Linked DNA regions of Coturnix japonica. The protein of the gene in region 1 purifies or fractionates together with the protein of each later gene. This does not show direct contact. Links are inferred from orthologs where the notes say so. Each region holds a gene or a part of one and is shown in the gene's direction. Other genes may lie near its edges.

Region 1 (6,136 bases):
ACAGCTTCTAGAAAGTGAAGCATTCTGTTAATTAAGCCTACTTATGAAACAATCAGAAATGACAGCACATCTGGCAGAATCTGAGAACTAATAAAAATAGACAATCAATAGGAACAGCATGGAACTTGTAGCTAGAAAGTAGGTTTAGTCTCATAACTGTTTCAACATTGCAAATGTTTTTACTAACCTCTTTCCATAGAGATACACTTAACAAGTAAGCATTAAAGAGAGAGCTGAGACAGTGGCCACTGAAACAAAACCTTCGTAATTGAGTTGAATAACAGCTGCATAGATTGTTTAGTTTTGCCTAAAAGCAAAAGCATCTCCAGTCAGCATAAAGACTTTATGTTCCCCTCAGCTAAATTTGGTACAACCTGAAGCATTAATTAAAATTGATTAAAAATGGGGATGTGTAACACTTATATTGCAAAATGTAGCACCATGATTAAAACATGATGTCTGGAAAGGATTTGTAATAGGAAGCCAATACATTATTTATATGAAAAAGAATTTGGAATAAATAAACAGAAATTGTGACTTAGCATCCAATATTAAAAGGTACAGAAATATCTTTACAAAAAAAAGGAGAAAGAGTAGCTTTGCCATTGTTGCCAGTAAAAGGACATCTTCAGTACATTCAGATTGACTTGGTAACAAAAAGTTCTAGCTGGAATTTCTAATAGCTTTAGCTCTTTGCTATTTGTTCCTTAGGTAAGTAAGTGTTTTTCTTTTTTCACTTTTTTTCATTTCTTTTTTTCCTGGTCCAAGCTAGAATGTTTTAAATTATCAAAATACTTCACAACACTTGAGGAAGTAGATCTGTGGGCCCTCATCTCCTTCAGTTTAAGTCTATAAGGACACAGTGCACCATTTAGACTAAGCAATTGTAATATTTTCCCATGAATATCTTGAACTTAAATTTCTGGAAATTTCTGCAGACATACTAATTCCCATTCTTTTCTCGATCTATTTAATACCTTATCTAGGGAAAATTAACCCACACAGTAATTTAGCAAGTAGCTACTTGCCATTGACACAACATCATATAGTTCTTATTTGATGCCAAGTTATTAATTTTGACACTGGGACAATAAATAACCCATGTATTTTTATAATTTGCCAAGGTCACAATTTTTATATTCATTTTATGTTGTGCTCTTTGAGAAGTTGAGTTGTCTGGAAAAGTATCTGTTTATTTTCTATTGCTTTACTGCAGGTTTTGTTGTTGTTTTGTTTTGTTTTGTTTTTTTAATTTAGCAGGTAGTTCTGATGTTGCTACTTGTTTGCTGAGCAGAATAATTTCCTTTTTTTAGTATTTAACAGAACATTGCTTTACATTGCATTTAAAAGAACAGGCTAATAAAGTCAATGATCATTAGATTGTCTTCTCGCATACATCCATACAACAACAGCTGCTTAAACTTATTAAATTGAAAAGACAAGAAGCTAAACTCTACATTCTTTTTCAGCCAACTTGTGTTGGTGCTTGGTAACGAGTTCTTCACTTACATAAATCAAATTTTTTCCCAGCAACCTAATTTTAACCTCTTAGGAAGAAGACTAGTTTTTGTTCAGTGAAGAACTACCAAGGACTTTGATGATGTGGCTGGATTTTTTGAAAACAGCTCAACATGGAACTTCAGACTTCATTTACTTATTTCTTTCTTAGACTTCATTTCATTATTTCTGTTCAAACCCAACTCTGAGGATAAAAGCTGATTTATTCCTATATCTTATTTATTTATTTATGTATTATGATACTCACCACTACAATACCAATGCTCCACAAACATAAGAATTTTTATTTTCACAATATACCATTAAATATATGGGAATTTCATTGAGTATTTTCCAGTAACAGTGGATGCCTAAATCAAGGCTCCTATTTTTAAAGCAAGAGCTATGCAACATGTGAAAAGTCATTACTATTTCAGATCCCACATCAGAATCTGAAACAATGGACTTCAAAACACATAACAAACAAACTAAATCCAAACAAGTTTTACTTGAAGTTTCTATACTCGCAAGGAAAATGAATCAGAACTCAAATCTGAAGACAAGCATTCCTAAAAGGCAAGTTAAATGCAAGAAAGCATTTGGTTTCCCAGTAGTTTTCTAGCCCAAGGCTAGACTTGACTGCTAGCCAGGTGAACACAGAGAGTTTGGTTTCCAGGTTCACAAATTTCTGAAAAGATAGGTTCCCAGCTTGGCCTCCCAGTGCCTTATGAAACAGCTTGTCTTTTTCTCGCTTTTCAGGGTTTTGGGGTCTACGGCAGTCTACTGGAAAGAACAGCTGGAATTAGCATGGATCCCAAATTTGTTAGGGCCTACACTTCCTAGACTGTTTTGTTTTTTTGTTTTTCAATGCTATTCTAAAACAAATCAGGAAAAAAAAAAAAAAAAAGTAAACCCATGCTTCTTTTGACATATCTCTTATCAATAGCTGAACCTTTTGTATCAAGTGTGTCAATACTGACAATAATGACAGTATTCATGTAGATCACCAGAAGAAGAAGTGCTGGATAGCATAAAGGTCTGAGATGAGCAGTCTTCACTGTGCAAAAAATCTATAAGCAAATGTAAACAGGATCCTTCAAGTATTCTTTAAACAAGGTCCCATCTCTTTTTACCATCTAGAATTTATCTGAGCTATTTCTTTAAATATACAGCATTTGAAGCAGTGGAAACTCACCACTACCAACTGTTAGTCCCATTTCAATTTCTGAATTCCTAATTAAAACACAGAGCTTCTGCTTCAGGGAGCACTGATGTTACTACTGAAATGATATGGAATTGTGCTAAAGCCTACAGGATAAGCATATTTCAGCCTGGCAGTGAATTCACAGGCAAAAGAAGAAACTATGGAGACCATAGAAAGAGGGACATCTCTAAATCTAGATACAAAATCTAAGAAAACTATCTTCTGAGGCCATTTATCCCGACTGCTATGAGTATAAATGCCAAACATCGTATTTCATGCTAGAATCAAAACTTTGAAAATAGGGGAATAAGTAGAATCCTTAGCTAAATAACTATTTTTTTCTGCTCAAGGTAAATACATAAAATGGTTTACCAACGCTGATTTGGATTATTAATGAGCTAGTAGTATATTTTCTTAGAGGTTGCAATAGCTTAAATTTAATCTTCTGTGAGTAATCTTAACATGCGCTTATACACAAACACGTGTATATACCTGTAATTGTATTGTATACACATGCATGTACATGCATACATTTATATATTTTTGTTGATATGGACATGAATACCATGACACATATATGTATATGTAGTAGTTGTTTTTAAAAAAAAGAAGAGAAGCTGTGAACAAATAATTTCTACCTAGAAACTAGAAATTAATTAAATACAAAGTGTTCCACTAAGGCTGGTCATTAATATATTAAGATCAGAAGCAATGGAAGAGAGCAAATGAGAGACTAATACATGTATTTTTATATTTATTTTACAGGAAATATATTTGTGGTAAGCCTGGCAATTGCAGACTTGGTCGTAGCAATCTATCCATATCCACTGGTCCTCACATCTGTATTTCACAATGGATGGACTATGGGAAACGTTCACTGCCAGATAAGTGGGTTCCTGATGGGATTAAGCGTCATTGGGTCGATTTTCAATATTACTGGCATTGCTATCAATCGATACTGCTATATCTGCCACAGTCTCAAATATGACAAGCTGTACAGCGACAAGAATTCTTTGTGCTATGTTGCTCTTATCTGGGTCCTAACAGTTGTTGCTATTGTACCCAACCTGTTTGTGGGATCTTTACAGTATGACCCCAGGATTTACTCGTGTACATTTGCACAGTCTGTGAGTTCAGCATATACAATAGCAGTGGTGTTTTTCCACTTCATGCTTCCCATAGCCATAGTTACTTACTGTTACTTGAGAATATGGATCCTTGTTATTCAGGTAAGACGAAGGGTTAAACCAGACAACAACCCCAGACTGAAACCACATGACTTCAGAAACTTTGTAACCATGTTTGTGGTATTTGTACTGTTTGCAGTCTGCTGGGCTCCTTTGAACTTCATTGGCCTTGCTGTGGCTGTGGACCCAGAAACCATAATACCTAGGATCCCAGAGTGGTTGTTTGTGTCTAGCTATTACATGGCATATTTCAACAGCTGCCTTAATGCCATCATATATGGACTCCTGAACCAGAACTTCAGAAGAGAATATAAGAAAATTATTGTCAGTTTTTGTACAGCAAAAGCTTTTTTCCAGGACAGTTCTAATGATGCAGCAGACAGGATAAGAAGTAAACCTTCTCCGCTGATTACAAACAACAATCAAGTGAAGGTGGACTCTGTGTGAAAATGGGAACCTTATTGCTTTCACTCCACAGCATCCAAATAAAGAATCTGTTTCATTAGACCTACTGTTGGATATTATACTGAACTCTCTATTCTACAGTGAAGGCACTTTGATCAAAATCTTTGCATGATATTTGGGAACTCAAGTTACAGAGTCTTTACTTAAGATATTGTTATACAGTGGTAGATCTCTCATATAATAACACAGTGATATCCTTGAGGGAATTACAATACAAATTGTGCATGGATACTTTTTTTTTCTCCTCTCAAACGGAGATAGCAAAGATAGAATGAAATAGAAATATCCATATTACCTGGCTCAATGAAAGAAGCCACAAAACTATTCTCACTGCTCTCTACCTGCATCTTTTGGCCAAGTAACAATCCCAGTTCAAAACTCTCAGATAAGTTATTTTGAAAGATGAAATCTGGTCGTATTTTAGGGAACATGCTCTGAGAATTATTTACTTTAAACCTTACCAGGCCTCCGAGCAATGGCATTCCCAACCGACTTCTCAAACTCAAAATAGTTTTCAGGGGAAGAAATGTAACAGAGTTATTCTTATCAAAGCTACAGAGAGGGGAGGATAGACTGGAAAGAAAGAAAAGTGATATGATTCATCTTCTCAAGCCATTTGTGAGAGGTGGAGAAAAATACAAAACACCACTTCTTTCTGAAGACATAGTAATTCACAAAATTGGAAAGTTCCCCAAAAGAGGTTCTGGAGAGACACGTCCTAAAAACTTAAGCAAGGAAGAAACAGTATTTCTCACTTCTGTGTGGTAAGGAATTTCTGAGCCTTTGTCAGAAGACTTATGCTTTTAAAAGTGACAGTGGGTAAGAATGGCATTTTGTCTGATTAGTTGAGTCATAATCTCATTACACTCTGGGAAATTACAAATATTTACAGAATGAACATGTGACATCTTTCTCAACTTGATCTCCTGGTCATAGTATAAGATTTATAGGTTATTTTGTAATCTGTCATAGATAAGCTTTTTTAAATAATCATAGTTTACCACAGTTATAAAAATAATACTCACCTAGAACAATTAAACACATCTAAATAATAAAGAGAAAATGCTACTTATGTTGCTGCTGGAAGGAGAAATACATGACTCTCAGGACAGGACCTGTTATGTGGACTTTCCACAGACAGCAGGTGCCTTTTCATTGAGAGGAAGCACACTGTGAAATGTCAAAGTATACCTAGACAGCATGTCTCCTCCAACAATGCATCTCTGTTGATAAAAATATGCCCTCTGATAGAGGAGGACAATTGGATTCACCTTCAAGCTGAGCTTATAGAGAAGAAATATTTAACTCTGGAAAGATACTGCAACTGTGATACCTTTTAGTACTCAAGTGTTCATACCTGTAACAACGTTCAATTACGTCTGAGCTTTTCCAAGCCAATTCCAGTCACTTCAACTGTACTAAGAGTTCCTAAATAGCCTGTACAAATTTTCTGTATTGAAAAGCAGACTTATCTAAGCAATTCATTACTTGCTGTGCTGGAGTTTTTCTTCAATTTATATGTCTTAGAAACCAACAACCACACTATATTTGTATAATTCCTTAATCTGTCTAGAAATCTAACAGCAACTCCTCTTTCTTGGATCATAGATTAGTGTACATTTGACTTAATATTAGTAATGAACTAAAGAGAACATATTCATATTTACTTGAAACCCCACTGACATTTTGTCAATGATCAGCTTCTTACCTTAAACATAGGTGCCTCATGTTCTCACTTGGTTATGTCAAGCTGGAACTAATGAACATCTAAAACTCTGCAGAT
Region 2 (7,843 bases), on another chromosome or scaffold:
CCAGCCCCACAGCGATGCCCCCATCCCCACCAACATCCCCCCCGGCCTCATTGTGGGCAGCAGGAATGGAAGCACGGGGATGCTGCGAGCATCCTGCATCCCTTCCCGACCGCATCCCCCCCTCCCCATCCCTTGGGGCCATTGGAAGTAGCCACTCCTTCCCCCCGCCCCCCCATCCCCCCCCCCACACCGGGCCCTGCTCCCCGTTCCATAGCGGCCCATTTTGGGGCCGGGGGCTCCCGTTGCGGTGCGGGCTGGAGGCGTTTAGGACCCAACATCCCGGCGGTGCGGGAGCATCTCACGCCGCAGCGGCTCCAGCAGCACCGGCCCCGGCCCCGAGCATCCCCGCCCGGCCCCGCTTCGGGCCCATGGACCCCCCCGGTAAGTGCGGCGGTACCGGCGGAGCGATGCCCGGGGTGTGCGTGGTGTGGGGCGGGGGGGGGTGGTCGTGTAGGGAGGGATCCCCCCCACACCCTGAGGAATGGGAGCCCCCTGGGTGGGGATGGGAGGGTGGGGGGCTCTGTAAGGCCCCCCCGGTGCCTTTATAGGGGGGTGGCACCCAGCGGGGAGGGGCAGAGATGGGGGGTTCTATGTGGGCCTCCAGGAGCAGGGGGGTCCCCGGGGTGGTCCTGGTGCGGCCCCACGTGGGTAACGATGCAGCAATTGGGGATGAAAGCAGGGATTTGGGGGCTTCGAGCCCCAGAATCGCTCATTTTTTTCAAGGCAAGGGGGCTTCCCCTGGGGGAATAAAGGGGGTTTGGGGGGGGTCATAATGGAGGGCATCACAAGTGTGATGGGGACAAGGTGTGGGGGGTGTCATGGGGCCCATTTGCCGCCCCTGTGCGCCCCCCGCTGACGGCTCCCCCTCCCCACAGCCGCACAGCGCTGCCCGGCGGAGAGGAGCGGGGAGATGAGCTGGGTCTGGGGGCACCTTCGGGTGCACTGAGCCCTGCAGGACCCACCGCGGGGCCATCGGAGCACACAGCGATGCCCCACAACCCCACACCATCAGCCCTAAGGATGGACGACCGGCCGCAGCGTGGAGCCCTCCCTATGGGGCTGGAGCGGCTTTAGGTCCCGTTGGGTTGTACAGCCACCCCCAGGAGCCCCCATGCCCCCTAACGGCACAGACAGCAGAGCTAAAGACGTGGCTTCCAGATCAGTGGGGCTGTTCTTCATGCTGCTCATCGACCTGACGGCCATCGTGGGCAACGCGGCCGTGATGACCGTCATCGTCAAGACTCCGGCACTAAGGAAGTTCGTCTTCGTGTTCCACCTGTGCCTGGTGGATTTCCTGGCCGCTCTCACCTTGATGCCATTGGAAATGCTGTCGGGTTCGGCTGTATTTGACAGCCCGGTGCTGGGTGAAGCCATGTGCAGGGTCTACCTGTTCCTCAGCGTCTGCTTCATCAGCATGTGCATCCTGTCCATCTCCACCATCAACGTGGAGCGCTATTACTACGTGGTTCACCCCATGCGCTACGAGGTGAGGATGACGGTGGGGCTGGTGGTCTGCGTGTTGGTCGGGGTCTGGTTAAAGGCCGTGGCCACGTCGTTGGTGCCGGTGTTGGGTTGGTTGGCCCCCGACCGCCCTCCGCCCGCAGGCCGGGGCTGCTCGTTGCAATGGAGCCGTGGTCCGTATTGCAAGTTCTTCGTGGTCTTCTTCGCCGCTTTCTACTTCCTGCTGCCCCTCCTCATCATCGTGGTGGTGTATTGCAGCATGTTCAAGGTGGCTCGCGTGGCCGCCATGCATCACGGCCCCCCTCCCACCTGGATGGAGACCCCCCGGCGCCGCTCCGAGTCGCTCAGCAGCCGTTCCACCATGGTGACCAGCTCGGGGGCGCCCCGCACCACCCCGCAAAGGACGTTTGGAGGGGGCAAAGCGGCCGCCATCTTGCTGGCTGTGGGCGGCCAGTTCCTATTCTGTTGGCTGCCCTATTTCTCCTTCCACCTCTACACGGCGCTCAGTGCACAACCCTTAGCGGGGCCGGCGGCCGAGACCGTGGTCACTTGGCTGGGTTATTTCTGCTTTACCTCCAACCCGTTCTTCTACGGGTGCCTCAACCGGCAGATCCGCGGTGAGCTGGGCCGGCTCCTCACCTGCTTCTTCAAGCAGCCCCCCGAGGAGGACCTGCGTCTGCCCAGCCGGGAGGGCTCCATCGAGGAGAACTTCCTGCAGTTCCTACAGGGCACCGGCTGCCCCCAAGAGCTGCCCCCGCCGCCTCTGGGCACCCCCAGCCCCAAACGGGAACCGGCGCCCGTCGATTTTCGCATCCCGGGACAGATCGGGGATGAAGCGGCCGAAGGGACGGAGCGGACGGGGGGGGCACCGTGAGCAGAGCGGGGCTGTAGCGTGTGCGGCTGCGGGTGTTAAACAAGGATGGAAGGGAAGAGTGGTGTGGGTGTGTGGATGTGGGGCGGGACGTGGGGAGGGGGTGGAGGGGTGGGGGACCCAATGTGTGGGCTCCACGGTGGGGTTGGGGGCTCAGCATCGGGTTGGGGGCTTAGCAGTGGGTTGAGGGCTCAGCATTGGGTTGGGGGGCACAGCATTGGGTTGGGGGCACAGCATTGAGTTGGGGGGCTCAGCATTGGGTTGGGGGCACAGCATTGGGTTGCGGGCACAGCATTGGGTTGGGGGGCTCAGCATCGAGTTGGGGTCACAGCATTGGGTTGGGGGCTTAGCAGTGGGTTGGGGGCTCAGCATCAGGTTAGGGTCACAGCATTGGGATAGGGGAACAGCATTGGGTTGGGGGGCTCAGCATCGGTTTGGGGGCTCAGCACTGGGTTGGGGGCTCAGCATTGGGTTGGGGGCTCAGAATTGGGTTGGGGGGCTCAGCATTGGGTTGGAGGCTCAGCATTGGGTTGGGGGGCTATGTGTTGGGTTGGGGGCTGTGTAGGCCCCGCAATCATCTCAAGACTACAACTCCCATAATACATCCACACAACACCGGAAGTTCCGCCCTCTCAGCTCCCATCATGCACCACTTTACCGAGGCGGAAATGCCCTGTCGGACGGTGCTTCCCGGCGTGCTTTGCGGCTAACGGTCGCTCTGGGCGGATATCCGGTTCCGCCTGTGGGAGCCGCCCCGGCTGAGGGAGAGGCGCGGTTCGGTTCCGCTCCGTCCCTTTTCGTTCCGTTCCATTTGAAGGCCCGGCGGCCTCCGCCCAGCCGCCGTTATGGGCTGTACATTAAGCGCCGAGGATAAAGCGGCGGTAGAAAGGAGTAAAATGATCGATCGGAACCTACGGGAAGACGGCGAGAAGGCGGCCAAGGAGGTGAAACTACTACTGCTGGGTGAGAGGCCTAAACCGGGCCTAGTAGGCCGCGGGGCTGAACTGGGCCTAGTAGGCCGCAGGCTTTAGATTGGGCCTAGTAGGCCGCAGGCTCTGATTTGGGCCTAGTAGGCCGCAGGCTTTGGATTGGGCCTAGTAGGCCGCAGGGGCTGGGCTGGGCCTAGTAGGCCGCGGGGGTGGGGATGCGCTTGGGATCTGTCTAAGTGCATTGGGCCTATCGGAACCAATGGGCCTGTGGGGTTTGGGCCTATTGGAACCAATGGGCCTGTGGGCTTTGGGCCTATTGGAACCAATGGGCCTGTGGGCTTTGGGCCTATCAGAACCCCCAGGGCAGCGCTCCCACGGTGGCCGCACCGCACCGTATGGTGCGGTGTGGCCACCATGGGAGTGCTGCCCTGTGGGGGGTGTTTTAAAGCAAGCCAGGCCTCCTGCTGACTCAATCGTGATGGTCTTCCTTCTGTATTTATCCTTTTTAGGTGCTGGGGAGTCTGGGAAGAGCACCATAGTGAAGCAGATGAAGTAAGTGAAGGGGTTGAAGTGCCGCTGAGCTGCCGGTCTGGTTTGGTTTAGCAATGACAGCTCGGTTTTCTTTAGGATTATCCATGAGGATGGTTACTCGGAGGAGGAATGCAAGCAGTATAAAGTGGTGGTGTACAGCAATACGATCCAGTCCATCATTGCTATCATAAGAGCCATGGGAAGGCTAAAGATTGACTTTGGAGAGGTGGCCAGAGCTGTAAGTACTTCATTGATCTCCCTCTGTGTTTGTGCTTTGAATGGTGTTAATGAGAGCTGGAGATTGGGGCTGTGTCTGCATTGACAGGAGACCCCTCATTGTCTGCAATGTAAGTGCTCAACATTAACCACAAACCTGAGGTGTCCCTGAGCCACCTCGTGTTATAGAAGCAGAGCATTGAGCAGCTTTGGCTGGTCCCTGTGCTCTGTTTGCCATATCTACACATTGCTTGCGAGCCTATGGAGGTGTGGGCTGTCACACTGAGGCTCACAGCAGCATCCTGATCCCTCTATGTGCTGCCTCGTGATGAAATGCTCCATTAGGAAATGAGGCTCCCTCACCTCTCAGCTATTGCAGTGATCCTTAAGCTTGTAAACTTGATTTCCTTTCTTAACCCCCCCTCCTGTCCCTGCAGGACGATGCCCGCCAGCTGTTTGTGTTGGCTGGAAGTGCAGAGGAAGGGGTGATGACGGCCGAGCTGGCTGGAGTGATCAAGAGGCTGTGGAGGGATGCTGGAGTGCAGGCCTGCTTCAGCAGATCCAGGGAGTACCAGCTGAACGACTCTGCCTCGTAGTAAGAGACCCCTTGGGCCCTTCTGGTGGTGGGGTGGGCAGGCAGGAGCTGCCCTCTGCTTGGCTGTGAGTGCTGTGATAACCAATGTGAGGAGGGCAGCTGCTCCTTTGGTTCCTGTCCCTATCAAACAGCTGTTGCTTCTGTGTGGGGAAAGCTGCGTGTTCATTGCTTTGTAAACCCAGGAGGAAGGGTGGCTGTGGGGTCGGTTGTGCTTCCTGGTGGCTCTGCGTGGTCTGGCCAAGTTTGAAGCCTCTGAGAAATGAGTTTGGAAATGCTTTATAAGAACCTTGAGATGAGTCACAGCTCGGCTCCCTGCAGGCTCTGTCTGCACAGAGCACAATGCAGCTCGACAATAAGCAAGAGCGCTTCTGAAACTGTAACAGCTCAGCAGAGGATGTTGAGTTTAGATCAAGGGAGGTGAGCTGGCAGGGGGAGCGTTTCTGAGATGCTTGCAGGAAAGCAGCTTCAGGTTCAAAGGGAGAGGAAAGAGCTGAAAATGAGAGAACAGATTGAATAGAAAGACAGGGCTGTTAGGAAATGCTGCAGAGTGCAGTGAGGAGCTGGCTGCTGCTGCAGCACCCGGCCTTGCTAATGCACAGAGCGAGCAGTCAGCTGAGCTGCTGCCCAGCACGCAGCCCTGAGCGCTTCATCTCTGCTGTTACAGCCTCAGCTTCCTCACTGACACACTGCAGCCCTTCCTGTGGTGATAGTGTGGGTGATGCTGTGGGTACATGGTACTCCTAAGGGTGCTTTATCTCCTGCTCCCCTGCAGGGCTGAGGTCTCAGGGTTGGAAGCACACGCTGCAGAGCAGTGCTGCAGTGAGATGGATGGGGTGATGCCAATGGGGACGGAGCCGTGGATCCCCACAGCTACTGAGCCAGGAGCTGGGGAGGCTCAGAGCAGCAGCAGGGCAGACACAAGTCGTGCTGTGGGCTTTCAGTCAGTGCTCTGTTCCCAGAGCCTCATTTCAGGGCGTAAAGAAAAGAAAACAAGTGAACCGAATCCACCCTTCTTGCAAGCTTGTGTTTACCAGATGGCGTCAGAGCATGGGAAGTAGCTGGCTCTGTAAACATGAGGGTGCGAGGTGGGGAAGCAGTGTTGCAACCTCAGCGTACAGAGGAAGCCTGGTGGTGGAGGAGGCTGCAGAAGGGCTGCAGGCAGTGTGGGGTGCAGCGGCTTTTATTGTATCCAGCGAACCTGGATGTGGTGGTGGGCAGCAGGAGGAGGCTGTGGGCTGCCCTGACCTGCTGTGAGTCCTCCCCACAGCCACCATGGGGCAGCCCTGGCTGTCAGCTGGCCTTGCTGAAGGTTGTGAATGAACCTGCCTGCTCTTTATGCTGCATTCCTTCCTGCTGCCTCGTTTGATGCATCCTTGCCCTTTAAAGTGAGCTGCTGGATTTATTGCCTCGCACTTTGATGCAAAAAAACCTTGACTGCTTTGCATTGCCCTGAGAGATAACAGCCTTGGCACGGCTCCTCCAGCAGCTCCTCCTGCATTGCCCTGCTGCCCAGCACTGCTCCCAGCACACACTGCAAGGTCGTGTTGGGGGGGGGGGAATTAATACAACCCCCCCGAGGGCAGAGCCGTGGGAGCTCGTGTCTATTTGCTGCGTGTTTGAGGTCTGCATTGAATACATTCAGTGATGACTTTCTCCTGCAGTTCATAAAAGATTCATAGCGAGAGCGCGGCCTAAAAAAGGAACCAACCAAACACCCCCCCCCCCGGTGTTGTCTCTTCTGGTTTAGTTACCTGAACGACTTGGATAGAATATCCCAGCCGACCTACATTCCGACTCAGCAGGATGTGCTGCGCACCCGGGTGAAAACAACGGGCATCGTGGAGACACACTTCACCTTCAAGGACCTCTACTTCAAGTAAGCCAAGAGCATGGGCTCCTATAGGCTCCTATGGGATCCTATAGGCTCCTATGGGCTGCAGTGAGTTCCTCAGTGCTCAGAGGGGTGGGGGGAGGTTCCACGCCCCCAGCAAAGCGCCTCCCCCTGTGCCAGCACTGCTCTCTGGTTTGACTTTTCTTTGCCTTCTTCTGTTCTTTCCAGCTGCTTTTATGTTGGACTCGCAGACGCAGGTACTGAGTGCTTGTTCACAGGAGCAGAACAGCAACTAATACTAAAAGGGCGCTGACTCCTGGCTGCTGAGTTTGAGTGTAACCCCCTTTTCTTTGACATGGGAGGTGAGGGCTGTCCCTTAGGCCCTGGCTCTGGGCACGTGGTGCTGCCATGCGCATCCAGCAGAGCTGTGAGGGACTCCTGGCCCTCTGTATGTCTGGCCAGCATCCCTGTCAGTGTGACCCACAGAGCTCCCTCTAACCCCATAGCAGCTGTTGGAGTGCAGCTGAGCTCCCTGCCCTTAGCACTTAGCCCTCCGTGCTGTGTGTCCCCATCCCAGCAGGCAGCCCCTGGATGTAGGAGAACACAGTGTTGTGTTGTGGGCGAGTTTCCCTCATCCTCTGGCCCTGTTTTCAAGCTGTCGTTGCTCCAAGCCACTAAATAAGCATTTATTGGCTTAACTTTTAGCTTGTGTTTGGAAAGAGCCCTAGCAAAAAACCATGTGTTGCTTATAGATTGTGGTTTGCTTGCATGCCCTCTAGGAGAACTGTAGTGCTCTGGCTTCTGTCGTAACTTACAAATGGTTTGAGCAGAAGTGCTTTGCACCGTGGAGCTGTTTACATGGCTGAAGGTTTGTCTTCCATCACGATGTGTTTCCAGCTGCAGTTTGCTCTTAGAAATCATTGCGTGTGATGGATGGGGATCCAGGCTCCCTTCAGCATCACAGCTGCAAACAGGGGCTGCCCCTTCCCTGCCCTCCTGGAGACACGGGGTGTCTGTAGAGGGATTTGCTCTATAAGGGAGGTGTGAGAGCTGCCATCCTGCTGTGCTGGAGCCCTGCTGTGAAGGCTCAGCTGATAACAGTGGGCTGATGTGGTGCAAGTGTGACTTGAATGTGGATCAGTGTGAGGCCGAGCTGTCAGGGATGGATGCTGTTTCCTTCCAGATTCATGTGTGCTAACAGCAGCCACGGTGGATGGTGGAAGCTGAGCAAATAGCCCCTATCTGGGCAGAGATCTTCCTCTTTCCTTCTGGGAACCAGCGGGCATTTGCCTTAAATAGAAGACAGGAGTTAGCAGAGCTGCTCTTGCGGCTCTCTGCTTTGACGTCACCGCGTTGTGTTGCTTTTGGCCCATGCTGCACAGTGCCCCCCTTGTCTGCGTGTTTGCTGT
Region 3 (7,699 bases), on another chromosome or scaffold:
CTTCGTGTGTCACCCCGAGGTGCTGCCCATCTACACAGAGCTGAAGGAGTGAGTGGTGGTGGGGCTTGGGGGGAAGTTGTGTGGGGAGGCCGTGCTGACACCCACTTCCCACAGCCCTTCCAAGAAGAAGATGCAGTGCATCTCCAACATCTCCATCACCGTCATGTACCTCATGTACTTCCTGGCCGCCCTCTTTGGCTACCTCACGTTCTATGGTGAGCTGTGGGGTCAGGGTCATGGGGAAACAATGGGGACACCCATAGGGGTGGTGGTGGTGGTGCTGACCCACATCCCTGGTGCTGCAGGGCGCGTGGAGTCGGAGCTGCTGCACACCTACAGCCGGGTGGACCCCTTTGATGTGCTGATCCTCTGCGTGCGGGTGGCCGTGCTGACAGCTGTGACACTCACTGTCCCCATCGTCCTGTTCCCGGTGAGTGTCACCATGGGTCACCCTGTGGCCAGCTCTGCTCATCCCTCAGAAGTGTGAGGGGAAACTGAGGCAGCAGTTGGATGGTGCCCTGGGGACAAGGATGGGAAGGTCTAACAGGCACCAACGGCCCTGCAGGGATGGGATGGCTCTGAGGATGGTGTGTGACATGTCCCCGTGTCCCCAGGTGCGCCGTGCTATCCAGCAGATGCTGTTCCAAGGCAAGAACTTCAGCTGGATCCGCCACATCGCCATCGCTGTGATCCTGCTGACCTTCATCAACCTCCTGGTCATTTTTGCCCCCTCCATCCTTGGCATCTTTGGGCTGATTGGTGAGTGGCAGCACTGCCCCGTCCCTGTCACCCAGCTGTCCCCCAGGGCTCACCCTGCCCACTGGTCCCTTCCTGCCCTAGGTGCCACCTCTGCCCCCTGCCTCATCTTCATCTTCCCGGCCATCTTCTACATCCGTATCATGCCCAAGGACAAGGAGCCCCTGCGCTCCACCCCCAAAATCCTGGTAAGCCCTGGGTCCCCACTCCAGGCTGTAGGGACTGCACTGCTGGCCCTGTGGGGTGACGCAGGGGATGTGGGGATGAAGGCACGGGGACAAGGGAGGGATGGGGTCTCCTGGGTTCTCAGTGGGGTGGGGGCACTCTAGCTCTTCCCTGCTCCCCATGGGGCACAAGGGGCAGCCCCCACCCTGTTCTCTGTCTCTGTCTCCCACAGGCTGCCTGTTTCGCTCTCCTCGGGGTGCTTTTCATGATCATGAGCCTCAGCTTCATCATCACCGACTGGGCCACAGGGGGGGGACGGAGTGGCGGCAGCCACTAGCCACCCTGGTTGCCCCCCCCGACCCCCCCCCCCCCCCCCCCCCCCAGTCCCCACCAGGACCCCCCGGGGCTCCCATCTTTGCCGCCTGCCCTTTGCCTGAGGGGGCATATGGGGGACCCCAGACCGTGCCCACCCCTCCTGGCTCCGCGCCTCAGTTTCCTCATCTGTGCAATGGGGAGACCAGCGCTTCCCTACCTCACCAGGGGCCGAGGGGACGGGGCCAGCCTGGCCCACAGGCACCCGCTTGTCCTCAGCTGGCCCCAAGTCCTGACAGCAGTGTCTGTAGGGCTGGTGGCCAGCACCTCAGCAGTGCCCGTGCCACCCCCATGTCCTCTGCTGTCCTCACCCCCTGACTGCCAGCTCCTCGCTGGCATGTGGTGCCCAGGGAATGGCTGGTCCCGGTGCCACTGGGTGGGAACCTGATGATCCAGGGGCCAGCTCGGGGAAGGTGACACGTGCCAGGGCCGGGTGCTGCCGGCATTGGGGTGGGTGCACCACATGGGTGCTGGTGTGGGGCACGGAGGTACGTGGGGCGGCACAGCTCGGGCTGTGGGATGCTCCCTGACACCAGGGTGATGGGCACCACTCGGCCCCGCAGTCCTCCCACCACCCACCCGTCTGTCCGTCCATGCCATGGGCAGCTCCCAGCCACGCCAAGGGCCAGGCCGCGGGGGATGCGAGCAGGCGGTGAGGGGGGGCCGGGGGCTCGCCAAGTAAATAAGAGACCTATTTTTATATGGGGGTGGTGGAGGCTGGGATGCTTTTTATAAATACTGTATATAAGAGTAGTTCTTTTTTAATGTGTCGCGCGGCTCTCGGGAGCTCCGAACCGTGTGCGGGATCGGGGCGGTGCTCGTCGTGTCACCCCGGTGTCCCCGCACCCACGGCCCCCCCACCCCGCCGCGCTGTTAAATTATATGTGGGGATGAGCGCCGTGCAGGAGGAGCGCGACCGAGCGGATCCGTTAAAGTAATAATAAAGGATACAAATGTGAGACGTGCCCGGTGTGGGGCGGGGGGGGGGGGACCGCGGGGACAGCACGGACGGGTGTCCGGGGAGGCCCGAGTACGATGCTGGGGCTGGGAGTGGGGACACAGCGCCAGCAAGAACGGCGACAAAGCGGGGTTTGGGATTCACGGCTCTGGGAAACGGGGTGCAATGGGGAGCTCAGCCTGGCGAGCGGAGCGGGGACGCCGGGGGTGGCTCCGTGCTGTGAAGCCGTGAGATGTGGCAGAATGAGCCACGGTGGGGATGGAGAAGGAGAGTCTGGGTCACAGCGCGTCCCATTGCACCGCCACCACCGACACCCCGTGCCCTGGGCATGTCTGCTGTGGGGCACGTGGCGCTGTGCATCATGCCTGCCCTGAAAGGACCCACAGCTACTCACTGCACATCTGTCCTGCTCACAGCACGGCCTGCCCCACATCTGTCCTGCTCACAGCACGGCCTGCCCCACATCTGTCCTGCGGAATGAACGTGGTCCTGTGCACATCTGTGCCGGGGATCACCGATGGCGCAGCCCACATCTGTCCGCACTGCATCACATCACATCGCATCACAGCCCAACCCAGCGCACCCAGCCCGTCCCCTTCCCTTTCCTCTCTCCACGCCCCCCGACGGAACCCCCGCCCTCCCCACAGGCCCCTCCCCGCCCCGCCCGCGCCGCGCAGGGCAGGGCAGTGCCGGCAGAGCGCGGAGCGAGGGGCGCCGCCATGGGCTGCACGGTGAGCGCCGAGGACAAGGCGGCCGCCGAGCGCTCCCGCATGATCGACCGCAACCTGCGGGAGGACGGCGAGAAGGCGGCCAGGGAGGTGAAGCTGCTGCTGCTGGGTGAGCGTGGCCGCCGCCCCCCGGGCATCCGTCCCCCCCGCTACATCCCGCACCCCCCTCCATCGCCGTCCCTCGGGCGGCTCCGGCGCGATTCCCCCACCCGTGATTTCCCACCCTCTTTTGGGACAACCCTCAACTTCCAGCTCCCCGCCGACCCCCCGCATCCCCGGGGGTTCCCTTCTCAACCCCCCGCCCTCCCACCCGAGGTGCTGCGGGGTCAGCCACGCCCCCGGGTCCCCATCGCAAAGGCCCCGGGTGGGATGCAGAACCCGCGGGCATCCCCCCATCCCCCCATCCCTCCATCCCTCCATCCCCCCATCCCTCCCCTCGCTGTTTCTGTTGCTGTTTGGAGCCGCCCCCCCCCGCTCCGGCCCGAAACGCAGCGTTTATTTTCTCCCATCTCGCTGTTATCTCTGGGGATGGGGGTCCCTTAATGCAGCCCCGGGGCGCTGGATGGGATCGGGAGGAGCATCCCTCCTTTCCCCCCTCGCCCCCCCCCGCTGCCGTCGGGGGGAAACGCCGGCACAAAATGTCTTTTCTCGTCGCCTCCTTCAAGAGAGGAAGCCGAGAGCAGCAGGAAGTCGTGGTGCAATCAGGCAGCGGCCGATCCGCTCCAACACCGTCCGCCTCGACGAGCGCGGAATGAGCGGAGAAGGGCGGAGCGCGACGGTGCTTCCCCACGGCGGGGTGCGGCGGTGGGGCCGGGCCGTGGGGGTCGGGTTATCGGTGCGAGGGGAACGGGAGAGAGCACCGGGAGCACCGGGAGCACCGGCAGCTCGGGACGGAACCCCGCGGCGTTTTGGGGCGGGCGCGTGGGGCTGAGACCCCGCTGCTGGGGCTGCCGTGGGCTCGGCCTCGCTCGGAGGGATGCGTTCGGCTCCAGGCCGTAGGGTTCCCCATCTCGGGATGGGGCGCAGCGATGCGGGGCTGGGAGCAGCGTGGTTGTGCTCCTTGTTGCAGGGTGAGGCTCCGGTTACTGATCTCGGTGGGTTTCTAAAGCCAAAAATAGAGCGAAACAGCTCCATTTTTTAGTCTTTTTGATTCCTTCCCCTGCCTCAGCAGCTGTTCAAGTGTAAACAGTATCGAAGGCCCTGAGCTCTCGGTGCTGCTTTCTAAACCGAAATGTGTCTGGAAAGGACTTGAGAGCCCACTGGGATGGCTCCTGGTGGGTCCCCATACGGTGCTTGGAGCCCCTCAGCTTGTCCTGGAACCCCCCCAGCTGCATCCGCATCCCCAGAGCACAGCACAGAGCACAGCACAGCACAGAGCACAGCACAGAGCACAGCACAGCACAGAGCACAGCACAGAGCACAGCACAGAGCACAGCACAGCACAGCACAGAGCACAGCACAGAGCACAGCACAGCCCCCAGCTGCTGCCCTGCTCCAGGCGGAAGTGAAACCGTGGTCCTGCAGAATCCTCTGTGCTGCTGCTGAAAGTGCTGTTGGTGTTTGGGGGATGGGGGCTGCCCGCCCGTCCTGCTGCTCTGCGCCCACCTCCCCGAGTTTCTCCCTTTCTGGCTGTTGTGTCGGTTTGATGGAGCAGCCCCAGGGGCTGTCGGTGGGCGCAGGACCTGTGGGCAGCAGCACAGAGAGGAGACCCCCCACCATCCCCTAAAGCTGGATGCATTTGGGATGCGCTCCTTGATGCTCCGCAGCTGCCCCGTGGGCTTTGTGGACACAGTGCTAACAGCCCTAAACCACACCGCCTGCTTGGCATTAAGGAAGAAGAGAGATTCCTTGGCTTCGCTCTTGGGGATCTCTGCCTTAGAAAGCGTTTGGGAAGCCCCAGATGCAGATGTTGCCCTCAAACAAAGCTGGTTGCAGGGCACATGGCTGGGTTTGCAGTGGGGGGCTCTTTGGGGCACGCTGTGCTCAGTGCTGAGGGTGCAGTTTCAGCCCCGTTGTTGGGATGGTTCCGTCGCAGGGTGGGGGCGCTGGGCTCTGTGGCTCCGTCTGTGTGCTCAGCAGCAGAGGAAGGGAGGCACCGGCTGCTGCTTTCAGCTCCGGCGCTGCCTCACGCACCCGCGGGTTTTCCTTCCTCCCTGCTCCCCACCCCACGCTCTGCTGCAGCCCTTTGGTGACATGGGGTTGCAGGGAGGTGCAGGGCTTTAACAGGGGTGATGGTTCTAAGGGAAACCTGACGGGGCCTGTGAGCCACACCAGGAGAGATGTGGCATCCCTGGGATTTCAAGGCCAGAAAGAGAGGAGAACGCTCCCTTCTTTCCTGGAAAAAGGCACAGGAATAGCTTTGTCCAGCTCGGAAAGCCAGCGGGGGTGTGGAGAGGGCTGTGCCCAGCCCAAAGTACGCCCAGCCCAAACCCTCCAACTGTCAGCCCCACACACCCTCCCCACAACGGGTTGTTTTGTTGCATCTGCTCCCTCGGCGGCCATGGATGTAGCTTTGCACCCTCACCAAGTTGCACACCCCCAATTACTCCCCCCAGGTCCAGGCTGTGGCACTGTGCTCACACCTCAATGTGATGGGGGGGCTGTTCCTATGTAACCCCCCCCCATATGGGGTCTGTGCCCACCCCACAGCCTGGGCAGCCCTGGGTGCTGCTGGAGGGTGGCCAGCTCTGTGCTGGGGCCGACAGCTGCTTGGAAAAGCACGCAGCATTGCTGTGGGGTTTCTTGTGTTTGTTTTTTCTTACTTTTCTTACATGCAATTATTTTTAAAGCTCTTTTAGATAGGAAGGAAAATGTGGAGTCCCCTCTTTCCTCCTCACCCCCCTTTATTCTGGGTGGTTTTCACCCAGCTATTGGTGCAGTGCTTTGAAAACCCCATTTGGTGGCTGGGACGTAGCTGGTGCCTTGGGACTGTCCCTGCTGACCCCATCCCTCCTCACCCATCCCTGTCCCCTCGTGGATGATGGTGATTGTTTCCTGTTTTTGTAGTATGCTCTGGGAACAACCATGGCTGCATCCCTGGGGCCCTGGGCTCTGTGCCCATTGGGACCTGGCCCTGTGGGACAGATGGGAGCGATGCTTTGGGGTGCAGAGCCACAACCCCAGCCCTGAAGCGCTCTGTCCTGCCCAGCAGTGGGAAGCTGCCCTGCTCCGGAAGCGTGTGCTGCCTGGCACTCAGCCTATGGATTGTGTCGGGGCTGAATGGCCGGCAGCCGGTGTGTTCCGGGGATTGGGAGCTTCCCCTCACCATATGGTTGTCCCCATCCCTGTCCCCTCTATATGGCTTGCTGGCTTCCCTGAGCACCACGTGGCTTCCGTCTCCCATTACTCACATCCCTGTGCCACCAGTGACCGCTCCAGTGGCCTATTGGGCTGGTCGTGAGGCAAAGGAACGGATTTGGAAGAGATGGCATGGCAGCCTGGTGGCTGCACTCCCAGCTTCTGCACGTGCCCAAGGGCTGTGCCTGTGCCACGTCACTGCCCAGCTGTGCTGTGATCTGCTGCTGCGGGTGCTGTGGGGTGGCACCGCTCCGGCTGGGGTTATTAGAGTTAATGAGGTACCGGAGCACTCCTGCTGAACAGGGATTACGAAAGGAAAAAATGCCTTCCCTGCAGCTACTGTGACTCAACGCCGGGTTTGGAGGCCGCGGCTCCGCACGTGTGCGCCCACACTCCTCCCGGCATGGGCTCCCACAGCGGGCTCGGGGTCATGCCTGCACCCCATTAACAGTGCCATAGGGCCAGCAGAGTGGGGGGGGAGCTATAGGGGTAGCTCTGTGGACTGGGATGATGTGCCGGGCAGGGATACGCTTTGGAGATGCTCAGGGTCAGTGTGGATTGTGCCCAGCCAGGTGGAGGTGGCACTGCAGTGGCTCTCGGTGCCCTTTGTGCAGTTCTGGTTCTGTGGGGCCAAGCTCCGTCCCCGCTGTGAGCAGCAATTTTCCGCGTGGCGTGGCTGGCTGCAGGGCTCCTTTTCCAAAGGAGCCAGGGGAAGCTCTGGGTGGAAAGAAAGCAAGAAACCCGATCCACCGAGCCGAGCCGAGCGCAGTTTTATTTCCGTCGGGTCAAGCCTGCGAGGTTCCAGCCAAATCATATATTTTGGGCCAAATGAGAAACATGTGTCATCCACCGAGTCCCATAACCAGAGAAAGATGCTGCGGGTGGATGCAGGGTCCTGCCTGGGCTGTGCAGCTCCTCCTGGCCCAGCCTGTGGGCAGGGGGACGCCCTGCCTGGAGGACACAGGGCTGTGACCCTTGCTGCTTCCATGGGGTACCTGGAGTCCCAGCACAGATGGTGATGTCCCTTTGTGCTTTGGCTGCAACCTCAGGCTGTGCTCTTGCAGGTTAATTTTAGCATAATCTCCATTTTTTTGAGCTCCTCTTCCCCTTCTCTGGCTGGAGCGCAGCACCCCTGCCATGAGCTGCCTGGGGCCCCCTGTAAGGGTGGCTCTGCTTTAGGGATGTGGCAGTGCTCACACCTTGGGCATGTGGGGACTGTCTGACACCCCCATGGTGCTGTGTGGGTCAGGGGGGACAGGGCTGGCATGGAGGGTGGCCAAAGAAAGAGAGACCGCAGGGATGGATGAGAGAGAATGCACCAAGTGCTGTGCTTTGGGATGTGGCACCCCCAAACAGCACTGCTTGGGGCTCCTGCGATGAGGGTTTGCTCCAGGCTGTTGTCCCTGTGCAGAGAAGGGACAAG

Evidence for each region. The genes of interacting proteins can lie anywhere in the genome.
Region 2: the proteins of melatonin receptor type 1A (region 1) and GNAI3 purify together in Homo sapiens (tandem affinity purification; 3 studies listed by BioGRID and IntAct, with this or other methods). This does not show direct contact. The link is inferred for Coturnix japonica from reciprocal best matches to the Homo sapiens genes MTNR1A and GNAI3.
Region 3: the proteins of melatonin receptor type 1A (region 1) and GNAI2 purify together in Homo sapiens (tandem affinity purification; 3 studies listed by BioGRID and IntAct, with this or other methods). This does not show direct contact. The link is inferred for Coturnix japonica from reciprocal best matches to the Homo sapiens genes MTNR1A and GNAI2.

Annotation. Positions count from the first base shown.
Region 1 is NC_029519.1:55,460,052-55,466,187, reverse strand, and holds part of melatonin receptor type 1A, read left to right. Parts: intron 1-3,466; coding exon 3,467-4,335; 3' UTR 4,336-6,136.
Region 2 is NC_029541.1:1,609,670-1,617,512, forward strand, and holds the start of GNAI3 (guanine nucleotide-binding protein G(i) subunit alpha), read left to right. Parts: upstream 1-3,041; 5' UTR 3,042-3,177; coding exon 3,178-3,295; intron 3,296-3,770; coding exon 3,771-3,813; intron 3,814-3,888; coding exon 3,889-4,030; intron 4,031-4,445; coding exon 4,446-4,603; intron 4,604-6,350; coding exon 6,351-6,479; intron 6,480-7,843. Other genes in the region: GPR61 (G-protein coupled receptor 61), read left to right, coding at 1,112-2,335. UniProt on the Homo sapiens protein: Heterotrimeric guanine nucleotide-binding proteins (G proteins) function as transducers downstream of G protein-coupled receptors (GPCRs) in numerous signaling cascades.
Region 3 is NC_029527.1:2,013,526-2,021,224, reverse strand, and holds the start of GNAI2 (guanine nucleotide-binding protein G(i) subunit alpha-2), read left to right. Parts: upstream 1-2,897; 5' UTR 2,898-2,970; coding exon 2,971-3,088; intron 3,089-7,699. Other genes in the region: SLC38A3 (sodium-coupled neutral amino acid transporter 3), read left to right, coding at 1-48, 115-215, 306-430, 615-759, 841-944, 1,154-1,258. UniProt on the Homo sapiens protein: Guanine nucleotide-binding proteins (G proteins) are involved as modulators or transducers in various transmembrane signaling systems.